Linked DNA regions of Oryctolagus cuniculus. The protein of the gene in region 1 interacts with the protein of each later gene in a biochemical or structural test. Links are inferred from orthologs where the notes say so. Each region holds a gene or a part of one and is shown in the gene's direction. Other genes may lie near its edges. The genes, in order: IKBKB, TNFRSF1A, NFKBIA, RELA, UBC, COPS5 and TRIM21.

The links.
Region 2: of the proteins of IKBKB (region 1) and TNFRSF1A, one has a biochemical effect on the other in vitro, tested with the Homo sapiens proteins (2 studies listed by BioGRID, with this or other methods). The link is inferred for Oryctolagus cuniculus from reciprocal best matches to the Homo sapiens genes IKBKB and TNFRSF1A.
Region 3: of the proteins of IKBKB (region 1) and NFKBIA, one has a biochemical effect on the other in vitro, tested with the Homo sapiens proteins (58 studies listed by BioGRID and IntAct, with this or other methods). The link is inferred for Oryctolagus cuniculus from reciprocal best matches to the Homo sapiens genes IKBKB and NFKBIA.
Region 4: of the proteins of IKBKB (region 1) and RELA, one has a biochemical effect on the other in vitro, tested with the Homo sapiens proteins (4 studies listed by BioGRID and IntAct). The link is inferred for Oryctolagus cuniculus from reciprocal best matches to the Homo sapiens genes IKBKB and RELA.
Region 5: the proteins of IKBKB (region 1) and UBC form a complex in vitro, tested with the Homo sapiens proteins (2 studies listed by BioGRID). The link is inferred for Oryctolagus cuniculus from reciprocal best matches to the Homo sapiens genes IKBKB and UBC.
Region 6: of the proteins of IKBKB (region 1) and COPS5, one has a biochemical effect on the other in vitro, tested with the Homo sapiens proteins (2 studies listed by BioGRID). The link is inferred for Oryctolagus cuniculus from reciprocal best matches to the Homo sapiens genes IKBKB and COPS5.
Region 7: of the proteins of IKBKB (region 1) and TRIM21, one has a biochemical effect on the other in vitro, tested with the Homo sapiens proteins (2 studies listed by BioGRID). The link is inferred for Oryctolagus cuniculus from reciprocal best matches to the Homo sapiens genes IKBKB and TRIM21.

The regions. Positions count from the first base shown.
Region 1 is NC_091433.1:92,506,349-92,510,218, forward strand, and holds part of IKBKB (inhibitor of nuclear factor kappa-B kinase subunit beta), read left to right. Parts: intron 1-864; coding exon 865-988; intron 989-1,553; coding exon 1,554-1,705; intron 1,706-1,838; coding exon 1,839-1,900; intron 1,901-2,810; coding exon 2,811-2,920; intron 2,921-3,870.
Region 2 is NC_091440.1:103,146,821-103,150,610, forward strand, and holds the end of TNFRSF1A (tumor necrosis factor receptor superfamily member 1A), read left to right. Parts: intron 1-836; coding exon 837-910; intron 911-1,012; coding exon 1,013-1,129; intron 1,130-1,434; coding exon 1,435-1,463; intron 1,464-1,657; coding exon 1,658-1,967; intron 1,968-2,060; coding exon 2,061-2,368; 3' UTR 2,369-3,150; downstream 3,151-3,790. Other genes in the region: PLEKHG6 (pleckstrin homology domain-containing family G member 6), read right to left, coding at 3,483-3,492, 3,603-3,790.
Region 3 is NC_091443.1:40,158,163-40,162,557, forward strand, and holds the start of NFKBIA (NF-kappa-B inhibitor alpha), read left to right. Parts: upstream 1-1,547; 5' UTR 1,548-1,754; coding exon 1,755-1,981; intron 1,982-2,566; coding exon 2,567-2,675; intron 2,676-3,003; coding exon 3,004-3,214; intron 3,215-3,467; coding exon 3,468-3,556; intron 3,557-3,674; coding exon 3,675-3,935; intron 3,936-4,051; exon of another isoform or gene 4,052-4,214; coding exon 4,215-4,262; 3' UTR 4,263-4,395. UniProt on the Homo sapiens protein: Inhibits the activity of dimeric NF-kappa-B/REL complexes by trapping REL (RELA/p65 and NFKB1/p50) dimers in the cytoplasm by masking their nuclear localization signals.
Region 4 is NC_091432.1:6,038,249-6,042,560, forward strand, and holds the start of RELA (transcription factor p65), read left to right. Parts: upstream 1-1,387; 5' UTR 1,388-1,519; coding exon 1,520-1,526; intron 1,527-2,074; coding exon 2,075-2,101; intron 2,102-2,192; coding exon 2,193-2,344; intron 2,345-2,433; coding exon 2,434-2,582; intron 2,583-3,079; coding exon 3,080-3,171; intron 3,172-3,533; coding exon 3,534-3,665; intron 3,666-4,312. UniProt on the Homo sapiens protein: NF-kappa-B is a pleiotropic transcription factor present in almost all cell types and is the endpoint of a series of signal transduction events that are initiated by a vast array of stimuli related to many biological processes such as inflammation, immunity, differentiation, cell growth, tumorigenesis and apoptosis.
Region 5 is NC_091452.1:5,127,078-5,131,016, forward strand, and holds the start of UBC (polyubiquitin-C), read left to right. Parts: upstream 1-1,139; 5' UTR 1,140-1,504; intron 1,505-1,958; exon of another isoform or gene 1,959-2,127; intron 2,128-2,273; 5' UTR 2,274-2,276; coding exon 2,277-3,939.
Region 6 is NC_091437.1:92,681,295-92,685,739, reverse strand, and holds the start of COPS5 (COP9 signalosome complex subunit 5), read left to right. Parts: upstream 1-1,447; 5' UTR 1,448-1,812; coding exon 1,813-1,955; exon of another isoform or gene 1,956-1,963; intron 1,964-4,060; coding exon 4,061-4,295; intron 4,296-4,445. UniProt on the Homo sapiens protein: Probable protease subunit of the COP9 signalosome complex (CSN), a complex involved in various cellular and developmental processes.
Region 7 is NC_091432.1:62,646,758-62,650,345, forward strand, and holds the end of TRIM21 (E3 ubiquitin-protein ligase TRIM21), read left to right. Parts: intron 1-1,143; coding exon 1,144-1,244; intron 1,245-1,548; coding exon 1,549-2,096; 3' UTR 2,097-2,904; downstream 2,905-3,588. UniProt on the Homo sapiens protein: E3 ubiquitin-protein ligase whose activity is dependent on E2 enzymes, UBE2D1, UBE2D2, UBE2E1 and UBE2E2.

The DNA.
Region 1 (3,870 bases):
TGCTTGGGATGTGCAGGCCGTAGCCCTGGCGGAGTCGGGGAATTGGTCAATTCCAGCCTCACGAGTTGGAGCTTTAAACACAGGACAGAGAGTACCACTGCCTAGAGCCATTTTATTTATTTGTGAAGCTTCACTTATATTTTTAGTAATTAATGTATGATCATGATACCCAAAACCAAAACCATGAAGTACAAGAGAATGAATATTCTGTGAGAAGTAGGCCGTGCCCTCTCTCCATGCCCCGGCCAGTAAGCTCACCCGGTCCTCGGGTGTCCCTCGAGGGCTTCGGGTAGCCTGCGGCGTGAGCGGTTCCATGCTGCCTCGTTCCCCCAGCAGTGTGGTTTGGAGATTCCCCGCTGTTGGTCCATGTGGAGCTGCCTCCTCCGGGAATGGCCGTGTAGGATCCCTTGTTTGAATGTCTGATGGCCATTCTACATCTCCCCCACCTCCTCCCCGCACACCGAGAATGGCCGGGGGCCAAGGCCTCAGAGCCTGCGGGCTTCTTGTTTATTCACGCATGCCCAGTGCTGCTGAGTGAAGCCGCGTCTTTTTTAAAACTTTTCCCCCTTAAACTCTGTGAACAGAGAGCTTCTGATGAAAGCAGTGGGCCTGGGTGCCTGAGGGTGAGTCCCCACCTGGTTCCCGAGCTGCTTCTTTGAGTCCAGGCCGCAGTTCCTCACCGACCACCGACCCGCTGGTTCACTTCTGCTGGAACAGGTCCCACAGAGGTCGGCGGCAGGAACCAGGCAGGAGACCCAAACACTTGCATAATAGGAAAGTAGTTACATAATGTTTCTAAGTGTGAAAGCACCGGCAGGCTGCAGGCAGGATGTGGTTCATGGTGGCCTTCCCCTCTGTTTCCAGTTCAGGAGCCCAAGAGGAATCTCCCTTTCTTCCAGCTGAGGAAGGTGTGGGGCCAGGTCTGGCACAGCATCCAGACCCTGAAGGAGGACTGCAACCGGCTGCAGCAGGGCCAGCGAGCTGCCATGTACGGTGCCAGGCGCCCTCTGACTTCCTCTCTTGGAAACTGCCGGGTGGCGCTGGCCGCGGGAGGTGGCTGAGGCAGGGGCCCGGAAGCAGCCGTTGAGACAACGAGGGAGACACTGGCTTGGAAGGGCGGCGAGTGGCTGGGTGGGCTGGAGCCTCTTCTAGCCCTGATGAGGTGCATGTGGTTGGCGCGTGGAGCCCAGGGCAACGCTGCGGGCTGGGCTGGCGACCGCGGACAGAATCTGGAACCCAGAGAGCTTGTTGCAGTCTGGGTTAGCAACACTCCCCTAGTTATTATTACCAAAAACGTACCCACTCTGCGTGGCCACAGCTAGTGTAAGCTAGATTTGTGTCCCTTTGTGTGCGCTGGCCTGCTTCCCGTTTTGGTTCAGAACTTCATGAATTGCTAAGGACTAGAAGAGTGTCCTTATGGTTATTATGTAATAATAATAATAATAGTGATGGCAGGGACCTCCCTTGATGTTTGAGGGCTTCTGCCACTATGCAGGAAATGGCATTTGGGTCCCCAGGGTGCTTCAAGGTCCCGTGTCTTGCGGCCCCTGCAGGATGAACCTCCTCCGTAATAACAGCTGCCTCTCCAAGATGAAGAATTCCATGGCTTCCATATCCCAGCAGCTCAAGGCCAAGTTGGACTTCTTTAAAACCAGCATCCAGATCGACCTGGAGAAGTATAGCGAGCAAACCGAGTTCGGGATCAGTGAGTGTGCCCTTGGCAGTGAGCCCTTGGCCGTGCTTCTCACGGGGTTTCTTTTGTCCTGTGATAGTAGAGTTGCTTGTTTCTGTTTTGGTTTTATGGTATTTTTCTTTTCTTTTTCACTTTTTTTTTCCAGCATCAGATAAGCTGCTGCTGGCCTGGAGGGAAATGGAACAGGCCGTGGAGCTGTGTGGGCGGGTAGGAGACTCTCGGGTGTCTGTGTTGCCAAGGGCATGAGGCTCGCTGCCGCCTTCTCCTGCTTTCGCATCAAATGCCAGGTTGATCTTCAGGGCAGAAACCGCGTTTTCTTTGCTGTGTTCTTTGACTTTCACCAAACTCGCTGGAAGGGAGCTCCGAGAGAGAGAGAGAGAGAATAGGCAGTAAAGGGAGCCCTGCTGTAGCTCCTCACAGAGCTATACGAATGGGCAGAGAAGATGCAGGTTTAACTGAGGAGCGAGGCTTTGAGCGCCCTCGGAGAAAAGCCAAGACCTCCTGGTTGAATGACCAGCACGCACTAGGCCAAAGGCTTTTCCCTGCAGTGCCAATCAGGGGCCGCCAAAAGATAGTGCCCACGAAGGCGAGGGAGGAAGCGTGAGCACAGGAACCCGGCACAGCTTTGTCACGGCTCTCCCGTGCACTCCTGGTGCCTGCTTTCAGGAACCTGTACTGACGGGGTGGGTGCTGGCCAGACAGTCCTTTATTTCACCCGGCCGTGGCCCTGGGACCCGTCATCCGTGCACACCACACGGATGCACGGATTCAGAGACGCGAAGGCCGTGCGTATTCAGTATCCTTCAGATACCAGACCCTGTGCCTGATCTCGCACGCCCTGATCTCACGTCGCCCCTGTAGTGGCCCTAGGAGACGTGTGTTTTAGGGATGAGGGAGCCGTACCTGAGGGTTGCCCGCAGTTGCACAGCTAGGGAGAGGTAGACGGAGAGCGGAACCCAGGCGCCATGACTCCAAGGTGACTCCGGGGTCTGCGTCCTGCCCAGCCAGTCGGTGGAGAGTCTTGTGTGGGTCTGGCCCCCACCCTGCCGCCCCAGCAAACGTGCGTCTCGGGCCGCTCTGATGCTGCCGGGTGGCGTCAGCACAGCTCTTCCCTCAGGAGGACGAAGTGAAGCATCTTGTGGAGCGGATGATGGCCCTGCAGACCGACATCGTGGACCTGCAGAGGAGCCCCATGGGCCGGAAGCAGGGGGGCACGCTGGACGACTTGTGAGTGCCCGCACACCTTCCCTCGGCTCGGGAGGCTCTGTGGGCCCGTCCCACCTGTGCCTGCGAGGAGCCCAGGCAGGCGCCGGCCCTCTGAGCCTTCGATTCCACATTGCTGAGTAGCAGAAAGGGCGCCGTGCCGTCACAGGGGCGTGAGGCCCTGTCCACGCCCACGCTGAGAGGCGGCTCTGCGTCCACACCGCGGCTCACACAGGGTGGCTCAACGAGCGGAACGCAGAACAGAAGGCAGGCCTGGGAGCTGTTCATCTGGGCCCGAGGAGGGGCAGAGGAACCAGGTGGACCAGTCCTCCATGGGGGAAGTGACACGGAGGCCACTCCACTGTGCGCAGTCAGGGGGAGCTGGGCAGGGAGGGCAGCAGCGTTTGTCACATTTAGGTCAAGAAGTCAGTGCCAGAAGCTCAGTTATTTGTCCTGGGTTTTCTGTAGTTATTTAATCCTCTTCTCTTCCAGTGTTCAAAGGATAACCCTTTTTGAGAGTGTCAATCAGTTTCGGCCCTGTTAAGGGACAGGGATGGGACTCCGGGTCCCCCCACCCCCTGGGCTTGAGTGTTCCCAGGGGAGCCATGTTCCGGGGCCCAGGCCCAGCGGTGGCACCTGGGTCTCTGTTGAGGAATGGTAGATCGCCAGGAAGACCTAGGTTTGCGCCTGGCCTCTGGCTCTAGCTCCTGCTAATGCAGACCCAGTGATGGTTCAAGTAGTTGGGTCCCTGTCACCCTAATGGAAAAACTGGATTGCATTCCCAGCTCCGGCCTGGCACCCGCTCAGCCCTGGCCATCGTGGGTGGTCGGAGGGTGAGCCCTGAGCTGGGGGACCTCCCTGTTTCTGTCTCCAAGGCTGCAGAACCTTTTTTCTGCCCAGGGACACTTGGCTGTTGAGAACATCATTTGCAGGCCACGCACATTTATCAACTGATAGCTCGCTGTAGATTGAGT
Region 2 (3,790 bases), on another chromosome or scaffold:
TGTATCATCTTCTGTGACGGTTTCTTTGGCATCAGTTCCCAGGACAGGTTAAGCCTCATTATATCAAGAGATAGCAAAGATGTTTGTGAGGCAAAGATACAATCTCTATGTGTGTCTGTGTGTCTCTTTGTTTTTAGTTTGTGTGATTTATGTGATTCGGTGTGTCCTGTGTGTGTATCTCTGTGTGTCTGTGTATCTCAGTGTTTTGTATATGTGTGTGTTTTGTGTATCGGCGTGTATACCTGTGTGTCTGTGTTTTGTTTGTGTATCTCTGTGTCTGTGTGTTTTGAGTATGTGTTTTGTGTGTGTCTGCTGTGTATCTGTGTGTCCGTGTTTTTGTTTGTGTATCTGTCTGTTTTGTGTCTCTGTGTTTTGCCTGTGTCTGTGCTGTGTATCTGTGTGTCTGTGTATCGCTGTATTTTGTGTATGTGTGTGTTTTGTGTGTGTATCTGTGCGTATCTCTGTGTGTCTGTGTTTGGGGTATCTGTGTCTGTGTTTTGTGTATCTCTGTGACTGTTTTGTGTATTGTGTTTTGCGTGTGTCCGTGCTGTGTACCTCTGTCTGTGTTTTGTTTGTGTATCTCTGTGTGTTTTGTGTATCTGTGTTTTGCGTGTGTCCGTGTTGTGTGTGTGTGTGTGTTTTGTTTGTGTATCTCTGTGTGTTTTGTGTAGCTGTGTTTTGCGTGTGTCCGTGCTGTGTATCTCTGTGTCTGTGTTTTGCTTGTGTATCTCTGTGTGTTTTGTGTATCTGTTTTGCGTGTGTCCGTGCTGTGTATCTGTGTGTGTGTGTTCTCCAGTGGCAGGGCCTCTGTTCACCATCGCCGTCTCCTCTTTCAGTTGTAAGGAGAACCCAGTGTGCATGAAACTGTGCCTGCCCCCGACCGGGAACGTCCAGGGCTCTCAGGACTCAGGTGAGGAGGAGCGCCCTCGCCCAGCTGCCCTCTACAGTCCTTGCCCCTCCCCCACCCACCCATCCCCCCACCCATCCCCTGACCATGAACTTCGCTCTGCAGGCGCCACAGTGCTGCTGCCCCTGGTGATCTTCTTTGGTCTGTGCCTGCTCTCCCTGCTCTTCACTGTTTTAATGTGCCACTACCAGCGGCGGTGGAAGCCCAAGTTCTACTCCATTGGTGAGGGGGCCCTTGGCAGGGGACAGGGCGCTGGGGAGCCTGTGGGAGGAGGCTGGGTGGCTCAGACACGCAAGCGTGGGGGGTGCGAGGAGGAGGGTCCCCCATCTCACTGCCCAGGACTCTGTGGGTGGAGGGGGGCCCTGAGTGGCTAGGGGGAGGTCACGCTCTGTCGCTAGTTCTCTTGTCCCTGGGGCCACATAAGCCGTGAGGCATGTCACCACAAGTCCCCACTGCCAACCCCAGGACGGGGCGCCAGGCCTGAGAAGAGGGGAAGTGAAATTTATACTCTGTTTCTTTTTTCTCAGTTTGTGGGAAAGCGACACCTGTCAAAGAGGTGAGATGAAACCAGAGACCTGCCCCCCAAATTTCCCTGACTGCTCCTTATCATTGTAACACCCCGATCACCTGGGATCACCCTTGCTCCCACTCGGGGGCTCCCCTAATTCCCTCCAGCCCCAACCCCCAACCAGAATGAGGGCTGAGGCTGCCTTCCCCTCCCCCACTAACGCTGTGCCCACTCTCTTTCAGGGGGAGCTTGAAGGTCTTCCTGCCAAACCCCTCGCCCCTGCCCCAGGAGTCTGCCCGCCTCCAGGCTTCAGCCCCATCCCCGGCTTCAGCCCCGACCTGGGCATCTGTACCAACTCCACTTCCACCTTTCCCCGTGAGGACTGGCCCAGCTTCAGGGCTATGCCGCCCTCCAGAGGGGTGGCCCTGGCCTACCGGGAGGCTGAGCCCGTCCACACCACGGCCCTGGCCTCCACACCCATCCTCACCCCGCTTCAGAAGTGGGAGGACTGCAGCGCCCCCGCGGCGGTGGCCCCGCAGCAGCGCCCCGACAGTGAGTTCCTCGCGGGGTCGGGCGCGGCTCCGGGAGGCAGCAGGGCCGGGTGGAGGGCGGCCGCAGAAGGCTCAACGCCCCGCGTCCCCACAGCCGACCCCGTGACGCTGTATGCCGTGGTGGACGGCGTGCCCCCATCTCGCTGGCGGGAGTTTGTGCGGCGCCTGGGGCTCCGCGAGCACGAGATAGAGCGGCTGGAGCTGCAGAACGGGCGCTGCCTGCGCGAGGCCCAGTACAGCATGCTGGCGGCCTGGCGGCAGCGCACGCCGCGCCACGAAGCCACGCTGGACCTGCTGGGCAGCGTGCTCCGCGACATGGACCTGCTCGGCTGCCTGGAGGACATCGAGGCGGTGCTGGGCGGCCCCGCCTCCCAGCCGTCGGAGGCCCGCCTTCCGCGGTGAGGCCACGCCCCTCTGGGGGGCGCTGCGTGCCCCGCCCTGAGGCCACGCCCTCTCCGAAGGACGCTGAGTGCCCCGCTCTGTGAGGCCACGCCTCGGCTGCCTGGAGGACGTCGAGGAGGCGCGGCATGGCCCGCTTCCCCCTCCTGTCGCTCCGCCTTGCCTGATGGAGCCACGCCCCCGGCTGCCAGGAGGACTTCGAGGAGGCGAGGCGTGGCCCCGCCTCCCCCTTCGCTCCGCCTCACCCGGTGGAGCCACGCCCCTGGCTGCCTGGAGGCCGTCGGAGGCGCTGTGTGTCCCTCCTCCTGGTCCCCGTCCCCGCCTCGGAGGAGGAGCCTACCCTGGGAGATGCCCTCTGGGCCTTTTCTTCTGGAGCGGATCCTGGAGGGGCAGGCGTGAACTAGCAGCCACTTACTTGGTGCTACCCGTTCCGTGCACACACACAGCGTTTCAAACTCAGCTGCCGGAGCACCGCCCAGCTGTGCCCGCTTGAGTGCTCCCGAGGCTGAGCGTGCCCGGGGCCCGAGTGGGTGGTTGTGGACTACAGGACGTGGAGGGCCCAGCAGAGCTGCTCCGGCCCCTGGTAGGTCCGGGGACCTCTCTCGCAGCAGATAAGCATGTTTATATCAGTTGTGTCACACTAATAGAACCCTGGCGCCCCTCTGCCCCTTGCCCGGACGCGTCCTGGGGCAGGGGCCAAGGGCAGAACAGTGAGCCCTCCAGCCGGAGCGGCAGGCTTTTGTAAATTCACTAAAACCCAGAAATTAAAGCTCCACTCCCACGGGGATGGTCTGTCTCTGTGGGCATCTGCACCCTGAGGGGTGGGGTGGGGAAAGTCCCAACCCAGGGCCAGAGGGCCCACCAGTCGCGCGGTGACAGCACCCCCCCACACACACCCCCATCTTCCCAGGCTCAAGCAATGCCACCCACGCAGCCGTTTTTATGCACAACTTTAGGGGGGGCGCAGGGGTGTCTGTGGTACATAAATCTACAGTTCCTGATGGCCAGATGGCCAGAGTCCTCGCAGCAGAAGGCAGGTGCCGGGAAGTGTGGTCCTTGAGGTAGTGTGGGGGCAGGGGTGACCAGCACTCTCCGGGAGAGCCTTCCTCCCCGATGCTCACACCTCTCTGAAAAGAAAGGAGGTGGCCAGTAGGCGAGGGTCCAGGGGTGTGGAAGAGGCCCCGCCCCCCGTCTGTCCCCCCCGCCCCCCCCCCGCCAGCTCCCCTTCAGCACTTACGAAGTGGACAAGGGCGTGTCCAACTGTATGACTTGCGGACCCCGCATCCTCTGCAGCTGGGCGCGGGTCAGCTTCCGAGGCTTGCCGTCCCCGGGCTCTGTAGCTCCCTCGATCCTTTGCGTGGCCAGTTCCTCCCGGATCTGTCGGAGCATGTCCTCAGCGCTGAGTGGCCGGACGCACGGCCTGCG
Region 3 (4,395 bases), on another chromosome or scaffold:
AGTTCTTCCAAAGATGTACATGCCGTGGGATGTCTAAGGGCCTCAAAAAACAGAGCTAGAATTGCTTTCCTGGACAAGTGATACAGTTTCTAAGCTGGAAAAGAACTTAAATAGCCTTCAATCCAATCCCATTAGTATATAAAACAAGTACACTACAAAAAATATTTACTGACTTGTGCAGCCAGTGCGCAGTGACTTTGACCCTGGAACCGAGGCCTCCTGCCTGCATCACTGTGCGACCTTGCCTTGATAAACCCGTGTGTGCGGTTCCTAAGCCTGCAGACACTGCAGTCTCTACTGGGAAGTTCTCACTCTAACATGTGACCATTACTACTGAGGGGTTTATTTCTTGATTTTACTTTTTTGCCCTCATATTTTGTCCTAGTGACCCTATCCCCTATGTTCCATATGGGGGGAACAGGTGGAGATCCGAGGAGAGGCAAGGGTTGCTTTGTACCTGATCAGTAAGGCGAAGGTGATTGCCACAACCTCCAGAAACCTCTGCAGAGGCCCCTGGAGCTCATGCTCAAAGCCGATCAAAGCCGATTTGATTACCTGCACCAATTCCAGAAGTAGTTGAATTCAGCCCAGTCTGCCGCTTCGGGGGCCGGAGCATAACCTCTCTAAAGCCAGGGGATTCTCTCAAGAGTGGCACTGCAGGAATGGCTCCAGCTACTGCCCTCTCCCAGAGCACACGGGGGAGCCGCCTGGAACCTCCCGCGGGGGGCCTGGCAGTTACTCTTGGCCATCTTTCAGGCCCAATCCTGGGTAAGACACTAACTGCCACCCATTGGTCAGGCTCCTCCCAATGCTGAAAAATTGCTCAGCTGGGCACTCAGAAATAGGCTCAGGATCCATTTCCTGCAGCACAGACCATGAACTTCGTTACTGCAAGGTTACCTGCAACCCCTCCCACCAAGACGAACTCCTTGCTTAACAAAAAGCAAACCCTTGAGGCCCCACTGAGCGCTGACCCCTCGCAGGGCGAGATCTGTCCCTCCCCCAGCCGACAGGCCTGTTAGTCCCCAGGACGGGACTTGGTTTAAAACCCAGCTTCTCCCCGAGGGGGTCGGGACGCCAGGAGCGCTTGCACCCTACAGGGCCGGGAATCTGCGGGAACCCAGGGGCCGCCCGCGAACTGCACCCAACTCTGGGGAAGACAAACCCCCACGGCCAGCCACCGTTTCCACTCTTGCGCTTCCGCAAGATCCGAGAAAACGGAAAGGACCGGCTGGGCGGCAAACCCCAAAGAGGAACGGCCCGGCAGGTCTGTGTCCTCGGGATCCCTGCAGCAGACGACCCCGAGTGCAATCGGCCGTGGGAAACCCCAGGGAGAGAGGAGGGCCCTGCAGGGTCGGCCTGGCCGCGCGCGGTCCGCAGGGAAGCACCGGGGCGGCGGCGGCCGCCGGGCCCGGAGGACTTTCCAGCCACTCAGCGCGCAGCGAGAAGTTCCCTGGACATGACCCCGGTGGGTCATCCCAGGGAGTTTCTCCGATGAACCCCGGCTCGGAGTTTAGGCTGCCTTTTTTTTTCCCCTAGCAGAGGACCAAGCCAGTTCTCTTTTCTGGTCTGACTGGCTTGGAAATTCCCCGCGCCTGACCCCGCCCCCAGAGAAATTCCCCGCCAGCGTTTATAGGGCGGCGCGGCGGCGCTGCCGAGCCCACAACAGTCGCAGCGCGCCGCCCGCCAGGAGCCGGCGACAGGACGAGGACGCCAGCGCGCAGCCCGCGGCCGAGCACCTGGGGAGCAGCGCCATGTTTCAGCCGGCCGAGCACGCTCAGGACTGGGCCATGGAGGGGCCCCGGGACGCGCTGAAGAAGGAGCGCCTGCTGGACGACCGCCACGACAGCGGCCTGGACTCCATGAAGGACGAGGAGTACGAGCAGATGGTGAAGGAGCTGCGCGAGATCCGCCTGGAGCCGCAGGAGGCGCCGCGCGCCGCCGAGCCCTGGAGGCAGCAGCTCACGGAGGACGGAGACTCGTAAGTGTCGGGGGGCTGAGGGCCGCGGGCCGGGCGGGGGGCGGCCGGGCCTGCAGCGCGGGCCCCGGGGCTGCAGCACAGCCGGGCTGGAGGGGGGGGATGGCCGTGCAGCGCCGCCGAGTCTGCCGCAAAGCTGCGGGGCGGCCGCGCGCGGGCCGGGGCTCCTCTGGGGGCTCCTCGGGCCGGCGGGGAAGGGCGTGGACGGCCCCGTCCCCGCACACCCCGAACCCCGCAGCCCGGCGCTCGCGGCGGGGGGCGGCGCGGCGGCAGGGACGCCGAGTCCCGGGTTGCATAAGGCGGGCGGGCGGGCGGGCGCCGCGCGGCCGGCGGGGGAAGTACAGGGCGTTCCGGGCCGCCGGGAGGGCGGGGCGGCCTGGCCGGCGCCGCCGCGGGGGGGGCGGGGCCCGGAAAGTCCCTGGGCGCCTGCCAGGAACACTCAGCTCATAATAACCCCGCGGAAAACACCGCGGCCCCGGCTCCAGAAACCCCGGCCTTGCGCAATCCCCCGCAGGCCGCGCCTCCCCGGGGCCCCACGCAGTGCGCTCACCGCCCCTTGCGGGGGGTTTTCCCCTCTCTGGCCTGCAGGTTCCTCCACTTGGCCATCATCCATGAAGAGAAGGCATTGACCATGGAAGTGATTCGCCAGGTGAAGGGAGACCTGGCCTTCCTCAACTTCCAGAACAACCTGCAGCAGGTGCGCCTGTCGTCCCCAGCCCTGTGCCCTCTGTGACCTCGGGATGCAGTCGATGTGGCACAGTCCTCCCCACCCCTAGCTCTCTGAAAGAACAGCCACAGGTCCTTACCTGCCCTGGCCTTTCACATTCCAATAAGCCGGTCTCCTGCAGAGTTAAAAGCCCACGGATTGGGTGAGGTCTTTGCGACCCACCCGGGGCCCTGGTCTTTGGCCCCCTGTCCCTGTCTGGGAGGAGCAGCACCCACCCCCGGGAGATGTCTGCGGCTCAGGGGCACTCGGAGGACGACTTTGCGCCGAGGCTTATCTGTGCTCGCTCTCCCACTCGTAGACGCCGCTCCACTTGGCTGTCATCACTAGCCAGCCAGAAATTGCTGAGGCACTGCTGGAAGCTGGCTGTGATCCTGAGCTGCGGGACTTTCGAGGAAACACTCCGCTGCACCTTGCCTGCGAGCAGGGCTGCCTGGCCAGCGTGGGCGTCCTCAAGCAGACCTGCACGGCCCAGCACCTGCACTCCATTCTGCAGGCCATCAACTACAACGGTACGCTGTGCTGTCCCAGGCGGGCGGCGCGGGGGAGGCGGGCTGGCCTAAGGCGTGCAGGGCAGAGCTTAAACTCCCAGCTTGTGAAAGCAGGAGGAAATGAGTATCAAGCGCCTGTCTCAGGCTGCTGGAATGTTCATTCAGAACCCAGATTCGGGCTCCTTAGAATTCAGGGGCCACATGTGCTTGTCCCATGAGTGACTAGGGGGACGGTGAAACAGGTGGTGATGCTCTCTTCCTTCTGTCCGTCTAGGCCACACGTGTCTGCACCTGGCTTCCATCCACGGCTACCTGGGCATTGTGGAGCTGTTGGTGTCCTGGGGTGCTGATGTCAACGCCCAGGTGAGTGCCTCACGAGCCAGGTGGAGTGCTGCTCTTTGCCAGCAACATGTCAGCCACACTGGCTGCACGCAGGAATGCCAGACGCCTCCTAAGCATCTCACACTCCTCTTGGCTCTAGGAACCCTGCAATGGGCGCACGGCCCTCCACCTCGCCGTGGACCTGCAGAATCCGGACCTGGTGTCGCTCTTGTTGAAGTGCGGGGCCGATGTCAACCGGGTCACCTACCAGGGCTACTCCCCGTACCAACTCACATGGGGCCGCCCCAGCACCCGGATCCAGCAGCAGCTGGGCCAGCTGACCTTGGAGAACCTCCAGAGGTTGCCCGAGAGTGAGGACGAGGAGAGCTGTGACACGGAGTCGGACGGCACGGAGGACGAGGTGAGCCCCATCCCCTACCCTGCCAGGCCCCTTCCCTTGAGCAGCCCTGGGATATTGGATAGAGCTCTCCGACTGTATAGAACCCCCCCCCCCCAATAAAAATAAAAGTAGCTTACCCTTCTTTAAGCAGCAAATCCTTCAAGGGAAATGCACTCAGCCTGTCAAGTTCATTGCACGGCGGGTGGGGGGATCGGAGCTGCAGTCGCAGCCAGGGCCCTGGCCTGCGGCCTGCAGCCCCGGGCTGGGCCTTGGAGGTTTACTCTCCTCTTCTTCTTCCAGCTGCCCTATGATGACTGCGTGTTCGGAGGCCAGCGCCTGACCTTGTGAGCACCAGGCGCCTGGAAAGCACGTGGACTTGTATATTTGTACAAAAAGAGAGTTTTATTTTTCTAAAAAAAAAAAAAGGAAAAAGGAAAAAAAATGCCAGGGGTGTCTTCCCGGCCCGAAGCGCTCAACTGTG
Region 4 (4,312 bases), on another chromosome or scaffold:
GCGGGTAAGGCCGCCGGTTCGAGTCCCGGCTGCTCCACTTCCGGTCCAGCTCTCTGCTGTGGCCTGGGAGGGCAGTGGAGGATGGTCCAGGTCCTTGGGCCCCTGCACCCGCATGGGAGACCTATCTCTCTCTGCTTTTCAAACAAATAAATCTTAAAAAACAAACAAACAAAAAACAATGTTGCTTGCATCGTGCACACCCCATTGCGGAGTCGCGGCTGGGCTCCCCCTTCCCGCTTCCTGCTAAGGCAGACCCTGGCGGGCAGCCGGGGCAGCAGCCAAGACTCGGGGTCCCTGCCGCTCGGGCGGCGCCCGTCTGAGACCCCCGCCCGAGACCCCCGCCCCTGGCCTCAGCTGGCGCAGCTCCCCGGCTGCTGGCCGGCGTCTGGGCCGTGATGCAGGGGCGGGAGGCCGCTCTGCCTTTCAAGGAAATAAAACGCTGATTATTCGGAGTGGACGGCGCACGCGCAGCCCCCGCGGCCGGGAAGCGGACTGCGCCGGAGACACCGGCGGGTGGGCGGGGTGCTCGCTCTCTTTCACTTTTCTCTTCCTGTTTTTTCAGAGCCTGGGAAAGCAAGTCAGAATTTCCAATCTTTTCCAATTCCCACATGGTTTCCTAATTTAGTGCGAGTTCGGAGAAGATACACACACACACAAAGTCTCCCCCGCACCCCGCTTTGGGGAAGCCGCGCGCAGCCTCACCCCAGGAGAGGGTCTGTGCCAGCCCCAGGCCCGCCCCCCGCCCGCAGGGCCGCGGCGGGAGGCCCCGGGCACTCTCGCGGGGGGCGGGACCCTGCGGGTTCGGGCGGCCCCTGGGGGTCCCGGGCGTGGGCAGGCGAGCGCGCCAGGGTGCAGAGAGGAGGCTGCGGGGCCGATCCGGGCGCCTCCCGCACTCGTCTCCGATGGGCCGCCCGCGGGCCGGGGCTGGCGCGGCCGAGGGCCCGGCTCGCCCGCTGCGGGCAGTGGCCGGCGGGGACGTCGGGCGCGCCCCGCACCCCGCGCGCCCCCCGCGCCGAGACGCGTGCGGGGTGAAGCCGCCGGCTCTCCGCGCGCGGGGCGGGCGGCCGCCGCCCAGCCGCTCTGGCCGCGCTCCAGCCCGGCCCGGGTGACATCACCAAGCTCCTCCGACCCGCGGGAGGGGGCCCCCGAAATCCCCTAAAAACAAAGTGAGTAATCGGCAGGCCCGCCCTCCAGGCGGGGCTGGGACGCGGGGGCGAGCGGAGCCGCCCCGGGAGCCGCCTCCGGGCGGGCGGGCGGGTGAGCGTCGGTGTCCGGAGCGGCCGGCGTCTGCCCCCGGCCCCCGCGGGCTCGCCCCGGCGCGGCGCGCACCTGCCCGGACCCCCGCGCGGGGCGGCGGCGGCGGCGGCGGCACAGGCACAGCGCGCAGGCGCGGCCGGGTTCCGGGCAGTGACGCGGCGACGGGCGCGCGCGGCGCATTTCCGCCTCTGGCGAATGGCTCCCCTGTAGCGCGCGCCGCGGGCCCAGCTGCGACCCCGGCCCCGCCCCCGGGACCCCGGCCATGGACGGTGAGGGCGCCCCGGGAGCCGGCGGGGAGGCCGCGCCGGGGCCGCGGGGGCTGTGGCGGGACCCCCGGGCCGCCTTCCGCCGCTTCCTGCGCCGCGGGCGCTGCTGCGCCAGGGAGCGGTCCGGCCGGCCGGTGGCGCGGGGCGGGGCGGGCGGCGGGGGTCTGACTCAGTTTCCCCTCCGCGTGGAGGGGGCCTTGACCGGGGGCCCTCCCGGGGTGGGGGTGCGGGGTGAGCTTTGAGGCGAGTCCGTCGCATGGCCTCTGGGGCAGCCCTGATGGAGTTGTTATGGGAGAGGGTGTGAGTCAGTTTCCTCTCGGGTGGGGGCTGGGGGGTGGGGGGCGCCCTCCCACAGCTCCTCCGAGGACAGTGGGCCGGGCCCTGACTCGGGTTCCCTCAGCACAGCCGGGGGTCCAGACCCCGTTTGCCCTTAGGAAACAGGTGTTTCTGGCTCCTGTACCCCCCACGGAGCAGGTCCTGACTCAGTTTCCCTGGGGCGGGGGGTGGAGGGGACCTGGGCTTGTGCTGACCCTTACCTCCTCCCCTTTCAGACCTGTTCCCCCTCATCTTCCCCTCGGGTAAGTGGGCCGGCCCTGCTCGGTGGCGGGGAGGGGCTCCGGGGGCTGGGGGGCTGGGGGCAGCCCCTGATGGGACCCCCGGCCCCCGCAGAGCCAGCCCAGGCCTCGGGCCCCTTCGTGGAGATCATCGAGCAGCCCAAGCAGCGGGGCATGCGCTTCCGCTACAAGTGCGAGGGCCGCTCGGCGGGCAGCATCCCCGGCGAGCGGAGCACGGACACCACCAAGACCCACCCCACCATCAAGGTCAGTCCTGCTCCCCCTGTGGCGGGCCGGGCGCGGGGGAGGGGCCGCCGAGCCGGCCCTGCCCCCAGCACGCGCTGTACTTTGCACAGATCAATGGCTACACGGGACCCGGGACGGTGCGCATCTCCCTGGTCACCAAGGACCCCCCTCACCGGCCTCACCCGCACGAGCTGGTCGGCAAAGACTGCCGGGACGGCTTCTACGAGGCCGAGCTCTGCCCGGACCGCTGCATCCACAGGTGAGCGCCCGGGGCCGCGCTGGGCGGACTGCTCTCTCCTGCGCTCCTCCTTTCTGGGAGTGGGACTCCTGGGGGACGGGCTGGGGCCCTGACCCTGTGGCTGCCAGCGAACCTGCGGTTCCCCCGAGCGCGCACCCGCGGACAGGCTGTAGGTCGTGCAGATAAACGGTGCACGTGGTGTCAGCCGTGACTTCCAGGCTGGGAGAGAGCCCGGCCGAGGGAGGGGTGCTGGTCTCGTGGCCTGGGGGCGGGAGGCCCGGGGTGGCCTCTGTCAGCTAGGCCTTGAATGGTGAGGCTGATCGGAGAAGCCCGGAAGCATCCCGGGGCGAAGGGAGAGGTGCCGAGGTCAGGGCCTGAGGGCGGGAGGCCGTCGACAGGAGCGGTGGTGTTGCAGCGCAGGGGAGCCGCTGCAGCCGCTGCAGCCAGGACCGGGGCGGATGGGGAGGTGCAGACGGGGCACCGCGGGAGGGTCCGCGCTCTGACGGGGAGGGGCTCAGCTTCCAGAACCTGGGGATCCAGTGTGTGAAGAAGCGCGACCTGGAGCAGGCCATCAGTCAGCGCATCCAGACGAACAACAACCCCTTCCAAGGTGAGGCCCCCCAGCTGCCCGCCCCGCCCCCGCCCCCGCCCCCAGCTGCCCGCCCCGCCCCCAGCCTCCGCCCCCGCCCCCAGCCTCCGCCCCAGCCCCAGGCCTCCGCCCCCGCCCCCAGCCCCCGTCCCCCCCAGCTGCCGCCCCGCCCCCCCAGCCTCCGCCCCCACCCGGCCCCCACCCCAGGCCTCCTGGCCAAGACGCCGCAGCCGGACACCACGTCCCGGCAGGGGACAGGACTGCGGGGTCCCAGTGCAGGCCTTTGTCCGGCGCTGTGGCACCCTTCGCCAGCCCCCAGGCCAGAGCGGCCGGCCCTCCCCGCCCCGTGTGACACCTGCCCGTCCGCCCGTCCGTTGTGACAGTGCCCATAGAAGAGCAGCGTGGGGACTACGACCTGAACGCCGTGAGGCTCTGCTTCCAGGTGACAGTGCGGGACCCAGCAGGCAGGCCCCTACGCCTGCAGCCTGTCCTCTCCCATCCCATCTTTGACAACCGTGAGTGGCTCGGGGGTCACGGGCAGGGGCCGGGGTGGGCCTGGGCGGCAGGAAGGCTGGTGGGCTGGGCTGCGGCGAGCTTCTGCCCGTCGTCCGGCATCCGTGTGTCATCTCCCGTGCCCAGCCCTGCTGGCTGCAGACAGGCAGGGACAGACCCAGAGCCGTCCTTGCTCTAGAGGGTGTGGCTTCGGGGCTGGCGGGGGTCTGATAGGAAGTGGGCGTTTTCCGGATCACGTGGCGAGAGAGTGGCATGCCCCCACCTACACCACGGACTGTGGGAAGTGGACATTACGAGAGCGAGGTGTCCTGGGCGGTGACGATTCCCTGATGACAGCCCGGGAAGCTTGCAGAGGGACTGGGCGGCATCATCAGTTGCAGTTTTTAATTAAATAATGAGCAGGATGAATAAAAATAGAGCAGCGCGGGAACCCTGGGGGCAGGAAGCAGGGTCAGGAGGGACGGGCGCGTGGCCAAGGTGGGTACGATGGGGCCCGGGAGACTGCCCGGGTCAGCGTGGCTCGCGCTGGGTCTGGAAGCCCCACGAGGGCAGAGCAGCGTGGGTCCCAGGCGTGGTGTTCTTGCCAGGGATAGCGCCGAGCCCGCCGGGGTGTGGGGCCGGGGAGGCGGTGTGGCGTGGGCTGCGCAGG
Region 5 (3,939 bases), on another chromosome or scaffold:
TTTAAGGGGTGGAAAAGTCCTCTAACAATGCTCAGGTAGATCTTCCCAGATCCACACAGCCGCAGGTTACCACAGCAACCACACAGCGGTTGTTCTGCCGGGGCTTCTCGGTGACATGACACTTGTAAAACGGTCTTCCCCTCTAAGGAGGGGCTGTGGTCCCGCCTCCGCCCCATCGTGGCAATGGAACATTCTAGAAGAGTCGCACAGCACAGCGTGGGGAGGGGGGGACTCGGGGCACGAGGGGGCAAATCCACCGCTAACGTTTAAGAGCCTCCAGCTCACCTGCTGGTCGACGCCACGATTCTCCCAAACACCAGGACACGACCCCGTGGCTGACCGTGCCCCTCCCCCTTGTGATCACAACGCGAGGTGCGCGTTTCATGCATCGGATCCCGGAAACACAGAGCGCAGCTTCGGTTCGCGTCCGTAAAAAGGCCCAGGTTAAAGCCCGGGCCGCACCAGGCGCCTCCGGCGGCGGCTTCCGGGGAGAGCCTGGGCGGCCGCGACCAGCCGCAACCAGCCAGCGCTGTCGGGGTCCGCCGTGGCTCCCCGCGGGTCTGCGCGCCGGCGGCCCGGGGCCGGGGCCGGGGCCGCGGAGGCGAGGGCAGGATGTGTCCAATCACCGGCCCGGCCCCCCACGAGACCACGGCGGTCACCTCAAACGCGACCCCACAGAAAGCCCCCTCGAGGTCACGGGCCGGGGGGACAGAGCGGGCCGCGCGCGGGGAGGCCCGGATGTGCCCAGTCACGGCCCGGCCCCCACGAGACCACGGCGGTCACCTCAGACGCGACCCCACAGAAAGCCCCCTAGAGGTCACGGGCCGTGGACACAGTGGGCCGCGGAGGCGAGGCCCGGATGTGCCCAGTCACGGCCCGGCCCCGACGAGACCACCGCGGTCACCTCAGACGCGACCCCACAGAAAGCCCCTCGAGGTCGCGGGCCGGGGACAGAGCGGGCCGCGCGCGGGGAGGGGGCGCCGGGCCGGAACCCCCGCGGGCCGCCCACCGACGGGCCGCTGCGGCCGAGGGGACGGGGCGCGGGGCGGAGCCGAAGCCCCCGGCCGCCCGCCCGCTCCGGGCGCCGCCCGGCTCCGCGCCGGGTCTTCCCGCCGCCCGCGCGCCGGCTCCCCTCCCCCAGGGCGGGCGCCCGCACGTCGGCCGCAGCACGCAGCAAACGCCCTGATCCCTCCGCCGGGCCCCTCAGGGCGGCGGCCCCTCCCCTCCCGGGCCCGGCGGTACCGCCCCGGGCTCGACCCGAGAACGTTTTGTGAGGGGGCCGACGGCCCCGGGCGCAGGGTTCCTTCCCGGAGGGCGGAAGAGGCTGAGGAAAGTAGTTCCTTCTCGGCGTTTCTGCGGAGGGATCTCGCCGGGGCGGCGGCTCGCCGTCGGACTATATAAGCGGGCGCCGGGCGCGGCGCAGCCAGTTCCGTCGGAGCCGGAGTTCGGTCGCCTTCATCCTGCGTACAGCTGCCGCCGCCGCCGCCGCCGCCGCCGCCGCCTGGTGAGTGGACCTCGTCGTGCTGGCCGGGGTGGGGGCGGCCCGCGGCCTCTCGGCCGTGAGGGAGGAGGGCGGTGCGGCTGCCCGCCGCGGGCGGGACGCCCTCCCGGGCGGGTAGTCGGCTGGGGTCGCCCCGCAGGCGGAAGAACCGACAAGATGGCGGCGCCGCCGAGCCGGGAGGTCAGGGTGCAGGGCGGACAGGGGCCGGAGAGCGCCGAGCGCCGCGAGGGTCTGAGGAGCGGAAGGCGGCGTCGCCGGGCCGCGTTTGGAGACGTGGGGGAGCGGTGTGGCGGGGCTGACGGGCAGCGCTGGGCCCCGGTTAGGGGCTGGGGAGTAGGGAGGCGCCTCGGCGCGGGGCTGCTCCAGCGGGTGGGGGGCGGCTCGCGCCGTGACGTCACCCGCGTGTTGGCACACAGAGCAGGGCGGGGCTGCCTCCCGGTGTGGGTGGCGTCGGTTTCTGTCAGTTGCAAGACACACGGTTAGGGCCTAGGCGAGATCCTGCTGAGTGGACGGGAACGCGAGCCGGAAGGGGGGAGGGACGGAAAAGCCCTGAGTTCACTGGTCACGTTTCCCTGCTTTCTTCATAACGAAGGGTCTGAGGCTGGGGTTTTGAAGTAATTTTTCAGGTTTGTGTTTGGTGTCCTTTGGAGTTCCTAAGCAAGTTATTAATTTTAATAGTGTAGATAAATAGACGATATTCAGTCTTTAGGAATATTAGTGAATTGTTTGCTGAATTTTTTTTTGTTTCTTTTTGTGTGTTTTCTCATAACAGACAATGCAGATCTTCGTGAAAACCTTAACTGGCAAGACCATCACCCTCGAGGTGGAGCCCAGTGACACCATCGAGAATGTCAAGGCAAAGATCCAGGACAAGGAGGGCATCCCCCCTGACCAGCAGAGGCTGATCTTTGCCGGCAAGCAGCTGGAAGACGGCCGCACCCTGTCCGACTACAACATCCAGAAGGAGTCCACCCTGCACCTGGTGCTGCGCCTCAGAGGTGGCATGCAGATCTTCGTGAAGACCCTGACCGGCAAGACCATCACCCTCGAGGTGGAGCCCAGTGACACCATCGAGAACGTCAAGGCGAAGATCCAGGACAAGGAGGGCATCCCCCCCGACCAGCAGAGGCTGATCTTTGCCGGCAAGCAGCTGGAAGACGGCCGCACCCTGTCCGACTACAACATCCAGAAGGAGTCCACCCTGCACCTGGTGCTGCGCCTCAGAGGTGGCATGCAGATCTTCGTGAAGACCCTGACCGGCAAGACCATCACCCTCGAGGTGGAGCCCAGTGACACCATCGAGAACGTCAAGGCGAAGATCCAGGACAAGGAGGGCATCCCCCCCGACCAGCAGAGGCTGATCTTTGCCGGCAAGCAGCTGGAAGACGGCCGCACCCTGTCCGACTACAACATCCAGAAGGAGTCCACCCTGCACCTGGTGCTGCGCCTCAGAGGTGGCATGCAGATCTTCGTGAAGACCCTGACCGGCAAGACCATCACCCTCGAGGTGGAGCCCAGTGACACCATCGAGAACGTCAAGGCGAAGATCCAGGACAAGGAGGGCATCCCCCCCGACCAGCAGAGGCTGATCTTTGCCGGCAAGCAGCTGGAAGACGGCCGCACCCTGTCCGACTACAACATCCAGAAGGAGTCCACCCTGCACCTGGTGCTGCGCCTCAGAGGTGGCATGCAGATCTTCGTGAAGACCCTGACCGGCAAGACCATCACCCTCGAGGTGGAGCCCAGTGACACCATCGAGAACGTCAAGGCGAAGATCCAGGACAAGGAGGGCATCCCCCCCGACCAGCAGAGGCTGATCTTTGCCGGCAAGCAGCTGGAAGATGGCCGCACCCTGTCCGACTACAACATCCAGAAGGAGTCCACCCTGCACCTGGTGCTGCGCCTCAGAGGTGGCATGCAGATCTTCGTGAAGACCCTGACCGGCAAGACCATCACCCTCGAGGTGGAGCCCAGTGACACCATCGAGAACGTCAAGGCGAAGATCCAGGACAAGGAGGGCATCCCCCCCGACCAGCAGAGGCTGATCTTTGCCGGCAAGCAGCTGGAAGACGGCCGCACCCTGTCCGACTACAACATCCAGAAGGAGTCCACCCTGCACCTGGTGCTGCGCCTCAGAGGTGGCATGCAGATCTTCGTGAAGACCCTGACCGGCAAGACCATCACCCTCGAGGTGGAGCCCAGTGACACCATCGAGAACGTCAAGGCGAAGATCCAGGACAAGGAGGGCATCCCCCCCGACCAGCAGAGGCTGATCTTTGCCGGCAAGCAGCTGGAAGATGGCCGCACCCTGTCCGACTACAACATCCAGAAGGAGTCCACCCTGCACCTGGTGCTGCGCCTCAGAGGTGGCATGCAGATCTTCGTGAAGACCCTGACCGGCAAGACCATCACCCTCGAGGTGGAGCCCAGTGACACCA
Region 6 (4,445 bases), on another chromosome or scaffold:
CCCAGGTTGAATTAATTCCTGCTTTCCAACCCACCACTCCGCGGTCGATCCGAGGACAGCCTGAGTCTGAGGTCCGGGAAGGTAGAGGCAGTAAGAAGAATACCAATGGCACACTCTCCTAAGCCAGGAGTCTGGTCAGCGCAAGTCCCGGGCTTTCAATACCATTTTCAACGTGTAATTCAATTCACACCAATACTAAGTAATCAAATGCTCCCACTGAAAAAGATTTTTTGACTTCGCAAGAAACTAAGAATGCTAATGTCTCCTAGGGGCCCTAATTTATCCTTACTTTGCAAGTCGACTTTAAAGGCAAATTTTAAGCTGAAAATGTCAAAACCGCAGACTGTGGTGTGGATTCCATAACCCTAATTTTCTATTTGTTCTATCGATCTGCCACGCACCCTACTAGGAGTGGAGGATTCAAGGCAGTGCGAGGTATCCTGAACTCTGAAAAAAAGAAACCTCCATGTAAACCGATACTCGTACATAATTACAACACAATGCGAGTTAAGAAGTACCTGTCTTACAGACTTGGAGACACCGTGGAAGAAATGGTCCTGGAGAGTGAAGACAGACCTCAGAACTGTGCTTTCAGATTAATATGAGCTCGCAGGCAGAAAAGCCAGGGAAGCGCGTGTTAATCAAGCAACGCTGACCACATCCGAGTACTGTTGTGCTAAGTCCAAGTGTGGGGAATGGCACTACTGGAAAGAAAGGTTTCAAGGGGGAACTGAAGAGAGATGGAACTGGAGAGGTGCGTAGGGACTAGGTTATGAAGAGCTGCGATGTTTTCTTTTTTTCCAGCAAAAAGATCTTTATCCCTAACACCCAGGTGTTAGAAATAAAACAAAGAGCACAGAACTGGTCCCTGCGTCTTTAAACGCAGAATCTAGTGCGGACGGAGAAGAGAGGGAAAAACACGTAAACCAAACACAGGAAACAAACATAGTATCAACGGGAGGCAACAAAAAGGTTGCTGAGATTAACTCCGTCCAGGCTATTAAGCGCTGCAGACTTAACTCATGAGAACTGAGTATTGGACATTTGCATCACTAACAGCTCATAATAAATGTAGGGACATGAAACGTCTACGTCACAGGATAAAACCGTAACAATTCACTCGCTTTTGCCGCCTCCCGCGAGCGCTAGAAAACGCCCACCTGAAATCCACGAGCCCGCAGTTCTACGCATGTGTACTGGGTCACTTGGAAGCAAAACAGGATGCCATATTTATCTTCCTCGCAGCCAAAATCCAGTACTTACATTTAAATTTCTCCAGACATCCTTTTTATTTTTTTCCTAGTCTTTCAAGAAACTTTCCATCTAAGACAGCTACACCCACACGAAAACACTTTCCTCTGCCCAACTTGCAGCTCCGCCCACATTTAATATGGCGGAAAATGCGCCTGCGCAGTACTAACTAAGAGGCCACGGCAGTTTCTGGCATAACGTTAACGTGCCCTTCTTCCGTTGTGAAAGGCTATACCATTCCCATGGCAAATGATTGTGTTTGCCCTATTTCATAGATACAGTTTTCCAAGACGATATGTTCTCATTTAACCCACATTAATATTCCCCTTGCCACAGCTGTTACACTAACTACCGATTTATCGTCGCTTCTCCTAACAGCCCCCTCCATCCCCGAATGGTCCGTACCAACTTCACCTCCGGTTCTAGGTGTCATGGCTGCCTCGAGAGTCTAGGAAGAGTTTGCACCTGTGGTGGGAAGGGTCCAAAACCCACACCCAGGGAGCTAGAAAAGTAAAGTTGCGTCTCGGCCGTAGAAGCGAAAGCTTCTCTGATTCCTCGGCGATGGCGGCGTCCGGGAGCGGTATGGCCCAGAAAACCTGGGAATTGGCCAACAACATGCAGGAAGCCCAGAGCATCGATGAAATCTACAAATACGACAAAAAACAGCAGCAAGAAATCCTGGCGGCGAAGCCCTGGACTAAGGAGTGAGGAGGTCCCTGGAGACTCGCAGGGGAGGGACGGGGTGGTTAGAGTTTGAGAGACCCGAGGGTGGGGGAGTGGGAATTGGAGTGGGTGGACGGCTTGGCTTTTCATGGTCCAGGAGAGATTATGCACCTGAAACAGAATTTGATCTACCTTCATCCCCGCACGTGTAGTGTATGCTCCTCCGCTGCGGCCTGCTTTGCCCGTTCTGTCTGTTAACTCTTTTGCCTCTGGAGGATGTAAGGGATGAACAGCAAGCAGAGATTTAGGTTATCACTTTTCAACATCCTGATTATTATATCTGCCAGTATCTGCTTTGAACCCTGTGTGGACTACACCTTGTTGGGGCCTTCAGCTGGTCCCTGACGGGAACCGCAGCTCTTTTCAGAAATTGAGTCAGCAGCTCACCTGTCTTGCAGATAGCTGTGAGCCATCTTTTTAGAGATCTGTAGTAGTTCTTTGATTGCTGGTAATTATTTCAGAGGCACAGTCAGCCTCTAACCAATTTCTAAAATATTACTCCACCAGTGTCACCTAAGTCTGAGATTAAAAAATAGACCTTAAGGCTCTTACCCCTTAGCAAAATTCATGCATCCCTGGGAGTGATGACAAGTCAAGGATTATTAATCCATAACATTTATCCTTTACCAAAAGAAGACTTTTGTTGGGGAAAGAGTAAAAAGAGAGTAAAAGAAAACTGTTTAATAGATACAAAGGAGAGCTGTGGCAAGCCCAGGACATACTTCCTGCCACACCGTCTTTTACAAGCCTAGCTTTAACTGTCAGTTAGGTGCAGCAGTGTTTACTGATAACTCAACATGGGCCAAACACTGAGTTAGGGATCTGCATTTGTCATTTTAATCATCATGACAACCCAGTACTGTACTTTCATTCGTTTTTTCAAGTAAGGAAACAAGCAAATACCTCATGATCACATTGAGGCAATGTAATAGGAGCACAATAACAGTTATCTTTTTTCTTTTCCCGTTAGAACACAATTTTAATTTGTATCTTAACTTCCAACACCAAGCCTCTGTGTTTTTCAGCTTGTGAAATCTGGCAAAGGTTGGGAATTAAGTTTCTGTGCTTTTCTCTGGGCAAACATTTAGCTCAGAAACACCAACTAACCACTCTGTACAGCGTACAGGCTGGTTAGGTTGCCTGGTTGTCGACTTCTATAGCAGCTGTACATTTTAGGTTGACCTCCTCTGTTAGATATTTGGAAGCCATCACTTTGTTACACTGTCTCACAGTAGTTCTAATTATATCCCTCCTAGCTGTCTTGGGCTGCATCAGTCAGACCAAAATATAGTTTTACTTAAAAGTTGACTCACAGCCACCACTGACAAATTCAAGAACAGTGATCATGGGACAGCTAAGGATATTAGAGACACTTTTTAATTTTGAGGCTGATATTACAGAGGAAAGCCACATCTTTCAAAATATTGTTGTTTCAGAGTACTGAGAATACTGTAACAGAAATTAATAATGCTAAAAACAGATAGCATTATTAAGGTTTTACTTTGGATCAGACACTAAAGCTAGGCACTTTATTATTTCATTCATTTTATTTCATCCTAATGACTCTGAACTAGTCCCGCTTACCCTAAGCAATGTAATGTGAGACACGCAGACATTAAGAGGTTGTCCTAATGTCACAGCTAAGGAATGGCAGTGCAAGAGTCAAACATAGGCAGATAGATGTCAGAGCCCACATTCTTTTAACCATTAGACCAAAAGGTTAGGCCTAAGAATAGTTAAACACAGCCATCCATCCAGTATTAGAATCAGATATTTGATCATTGCAAATCAACAGAGGAAAAGTCTCTTGAACTCATTGCTACTTCCACATTTGAATAGCATGTTAAAAGAGAGAGAGGACTGTTTCAGACCCTTCCTTTCCCCAGGGGGGAATATTTTGCAGGAGTATGACATGTTTGTTATTTCCATACCCATGCAGGTCATCTGTCCTTTACTACTACTTCCCACATTCTACACAGCCCTTATATCAATTTAAATTCTCTCAGTAACTTATTTTAAAAAAAAAAGTCTTTGGATATTTTATTTCAAATAAGAAATATAATTACATTGTGATTTTATTTTGTAGTCATCATTACTTTAAGTACTGCAAAATCTCAGCATTGGCTCTACTGAAAATGGTGATGCATGCCAGATCAGGAGGCAACTTGGAGGTGATGGGCTTGATGCTAGGAAAGGTGGACGGTGAAACCATGATCATTATGGACAGTTTTGCTTTGCCTGTAGAGGGCACTGAAACCCGAGTAAATGCTCAAGCTGCAGCATATGAGTACATGGCTGCATACATAGAAAACGCCAAACAGGTAAAAATCTTGTTTATTAAACTGTGGTAACAAAAAAAAATCTTGTTTATTAAACTGTGTTAGAGTCTCAAGGTAACTTTTGAGATTCTGAAGTTAAGGCTATCCTCTCAAGGTTAAATTTTCTATTTTAAATTGGATATGTGTGTAAAA
Region 7 (3,588 bases), on another chromosome or scaffold:
AAAGAAGGAGGTACCTTTCTCTGAAGGGAGGAGAGAACTTCCACTTTGACCATGGCCTTGTCTAAAAATTATCAGAGTCAGTGAACTCAGGGGGCTTCCATAGCCTTGGCAGCTCATGACAAGAGCCTAGGGTGATTACTGAGGCCATAAACAAGAGTGTCAATTTGTTAAGTCAACAACAGGAGTCACTGTGCACTTACTCCTCATGTAGGATCTTTGTCCTCAGTGTGCTGTACATTGAGATTTAATGCTATAACTAGCACTCAAACAGTATTTTTCACTTTATGTTTCTGTGTGGAAGCAAACTGTTGAAATCTTCACTTAATGTATGCTAAACTGATCTTCTGTATATAAAGAGAATCGAAAATGAATCTTGATGTGAATGGAAGGGGAGAGGGAGTGGGAAAGGGGAGGGTTGCGGGTGGGAGGGACATTATGGGGGGGAAGCCATTGTAATCCATAAGCTGTACTTTGGAAATTTATATTCATTAAATAAAAGTTAAAAAATAAAATAAATAAAAGAGGGGGCAATATGATCATATATGCCTCTGAGAGGGTGGCAAAGGTAGAAAAACATGCCCTGGACTTTCCCGTGCTTGCCTCCCTGTTCTCAAGGAGATCCTCTATTAAGCACTTTCTGGTTTCAGAAGGCTAACAAATGGATAGCTCAGTTGCCAAGTTTCCCAGAGGATTTGGGCTATAATATCTTCACAGAGCAAATCCCCAACAACTGGGGAAAGGCTAGGAATTTCTCTAGCCTGCTGGGTCTGCTTTTTTAGAAGCAGTTACACCAGTTATAAACTACCTCGAAAGAGCTGTAAGACAGACCTACAGCATGGCCAGACTCCTTGAGGCTTCTCATAGATGTGATTCAGCCTGTATCAGACACCTTGCCTGTAAGATAAGATGGAGCCCAAGGTCACCAAGTAAGCATGAGAGAAGACACATGCTGCAAAGACTTTCATAACTAGGAATTTCTGGATAAATCCTGGAAATTTTTGCCTCTCATTCCTACTTCCCAGAGGCAATTATAAGTTTTGTACTTAACTATCACAATCCCCAAGGAAGTCATAGTGTTATGGTTGGGGTGGGGGAGCGGGTAGGTAATAGGAGTGGAAGACGAGTCTGAAACTCTTTCCCCAGGAGTGAGTCCTGGAGCCTGGAGGAGCTGAAAGTCATCTCACCAGACCTGAGGAGTGTGTGCCATGTGCCGGGGCTGAAGAAGATGCTGAGGACGTGTGGCGGTGAGGCGAGCTCTGGGAGTTGTGGGTGTGGGGCAGATGGGAATGATGAAAGTGTGGAGTAGACCCAGGATGGGGGAGGATGGACAGCAGTATGGAGGAGAGATGGCAGGTGGGGGAGAGATAGGAGTAGAGAAGGTAATCCCTTCAAAGGCCAGGGCAAGGCCAGGGCTCGCTGGAAGTCAGTTCCTCACCTGAGGAGGTCGGCCGCTCGTCCTCCTCCTGGAATTGACACAGATCCCCTTGCTACAGGCACAGGCTGAGGACTTCCCACACCCCAGGCCTGACCGTGGTGCTCTCTCTGCAGTACACATCACTCTGGATCCACAAACGGCCAATCCACAGCTCATCATCTCAGAGGACCTGAGACAAGTGAGGCTTGCAAACACCTGGCAGGATGTGCCAAAAAATGAAGAGAGATTTGATAATTATCCAATGGTCCTCGGTGCCCAGCACTTCAACTCTGGAAAGCATTACTGGGAAGTCAGTGTGAGGGGAAAGAGGGCCTGGGACCTGGGAGTCTGCAGAGCCTCGGTGCAGAGGAAGGGGAATTTTGTGCTCAACACTGAGAGAGGCTTCTGGACAATTTGGCTGTGGAAAGTAAAACAATATGAGGCTGGCACCTGTTCCCCAACCCCCCTCCACCTTCGGGTACCTCCATACCAAGTTGGGATCTTCCTGGACTATGAGGCCAGCACTGTTTCCTTCTACAATGTCACTGACCATGGGTCCCTGATCTACACCTTCTCTGACTGTGACTTTGCTGGACCTCTGCGGCCCTTCTTCAGTCCTGGTTTCAATGATGATGGAAAAAATGGAGCTCCTCTCACTCTCTGTCCACTGAAGATGGCATAGTCTGGACTCGCCAATTACTGAGGGCTCTTCATGGACACCCTCGTCCCATTGGGGCCCCTCCCAGCAGCAGCCCCTGCCTCTTTTGCCCATGAACGCTTGAGACACTTTTGCCTCTGCAGAGGTGTTGGGATCCCAGGAAGCAGTTGTTAGCAGGGGTGGGAGGTCACTGAAAGCCAATATCAAGTGGGTATTTCTGCTTTAAATTGCCGATTCCCTCCAGTGAAGCAAACTGCAGATTTAGCCCAAACTCACCTGAACCAGTTTCCACCTCCTTTATGTCGCTGAAGTTCTGTCCTAGGGGACAGCACTGTAGCATAGAAGGTTAAGCCACAGTTCAAATCCTGGTTTCTCCACTTCCAGTCCAGCTCCCAGCTAATGTGTCCGGGGAAGCAGTGGAAGAGGGCCAAGTCCTTGGGCCCCTGCACCCATGTGGGAGACCCAGACAAATCTCCTGGCTTCGGCCTGACCCAGCTCTAGTTATTGCGGCCATTTAGGTAGTGAACCAGCAAATAGAAGCTTGCTCACTCTCTTTCAAGTAAATAAACCTTTAAAAAAAAATCCTGTTTTAGCCTCTCCATCTTCAGGTTATTATCTTAGGTCAGAGCTCTGTTATACTGTGGGTGGTTTGTAAAATAGCTTCCTAAAAACAGTTGTGTTGTATTCTGCCCTTGTTCCTTAAACCTGAAATATTTGACAACTCTGATTAATAGTGATATACAACATTCCTTCAAAATGTTCATGGAAAATACATATGAAAAGTATGCATGGATTTCAATTTTTGCACCAAAATAAATGTATCTTAACTCCATTTTTTTTTTACAAACTTTAAAGTATGCTTAGATATCTAATGTTGCACATTTTTTCCTGCCTGGGCTGCCCTCCCTACTTCTGCATCTGGATTATTTGGTCTTGGGCAGAAGATACCAGTAAGAGTTTCCTCTCTTGATCTCCAAGTGGCCACTGTGATAATAGAAGGCATTTTGAGATTGCAGTCACTGCCCGAGGGCAGGTGCCCTTCACATAGAGGGAACTCCTGGGTTTGAAACAAAGTGCTCTCAGAGCTGGTACTGTTCTCTGTATCTCTGAAAGACCTGAGATGCTTCTGTCCATGTTCTTGGTTGACCAGTGAATGTCACTGATAGAGGGTGAAGGCTCGGGTGCCCTCAGCTCTCAGCGTTCTTCCTGGAAAATGGAACACTTCTACTCCTCCTGGGACATCCAAGTTTGCTATCATTCCTCTCTGAAATTCCCCCTTTCTTGGGCAAGTTTTTCTGGCTTTTCCAGGGGAACACATATGGCCTCCACTAAGGAATAGCAGAAGGGACTTGTCTGCAGTGAGTGAGACCATATCCTCAGTTATGAGAATGGAAGTTTGAGCAGGGTGGGATGTGTCTGTGTCCACCTGTGTTCCAAGTCAGCAGCTCAGGTTATGAGAACTGGGAAAAAAGGGCTCAGTTTATCTTCCAGAAGCTTCTACCATAGAGGATGAAAT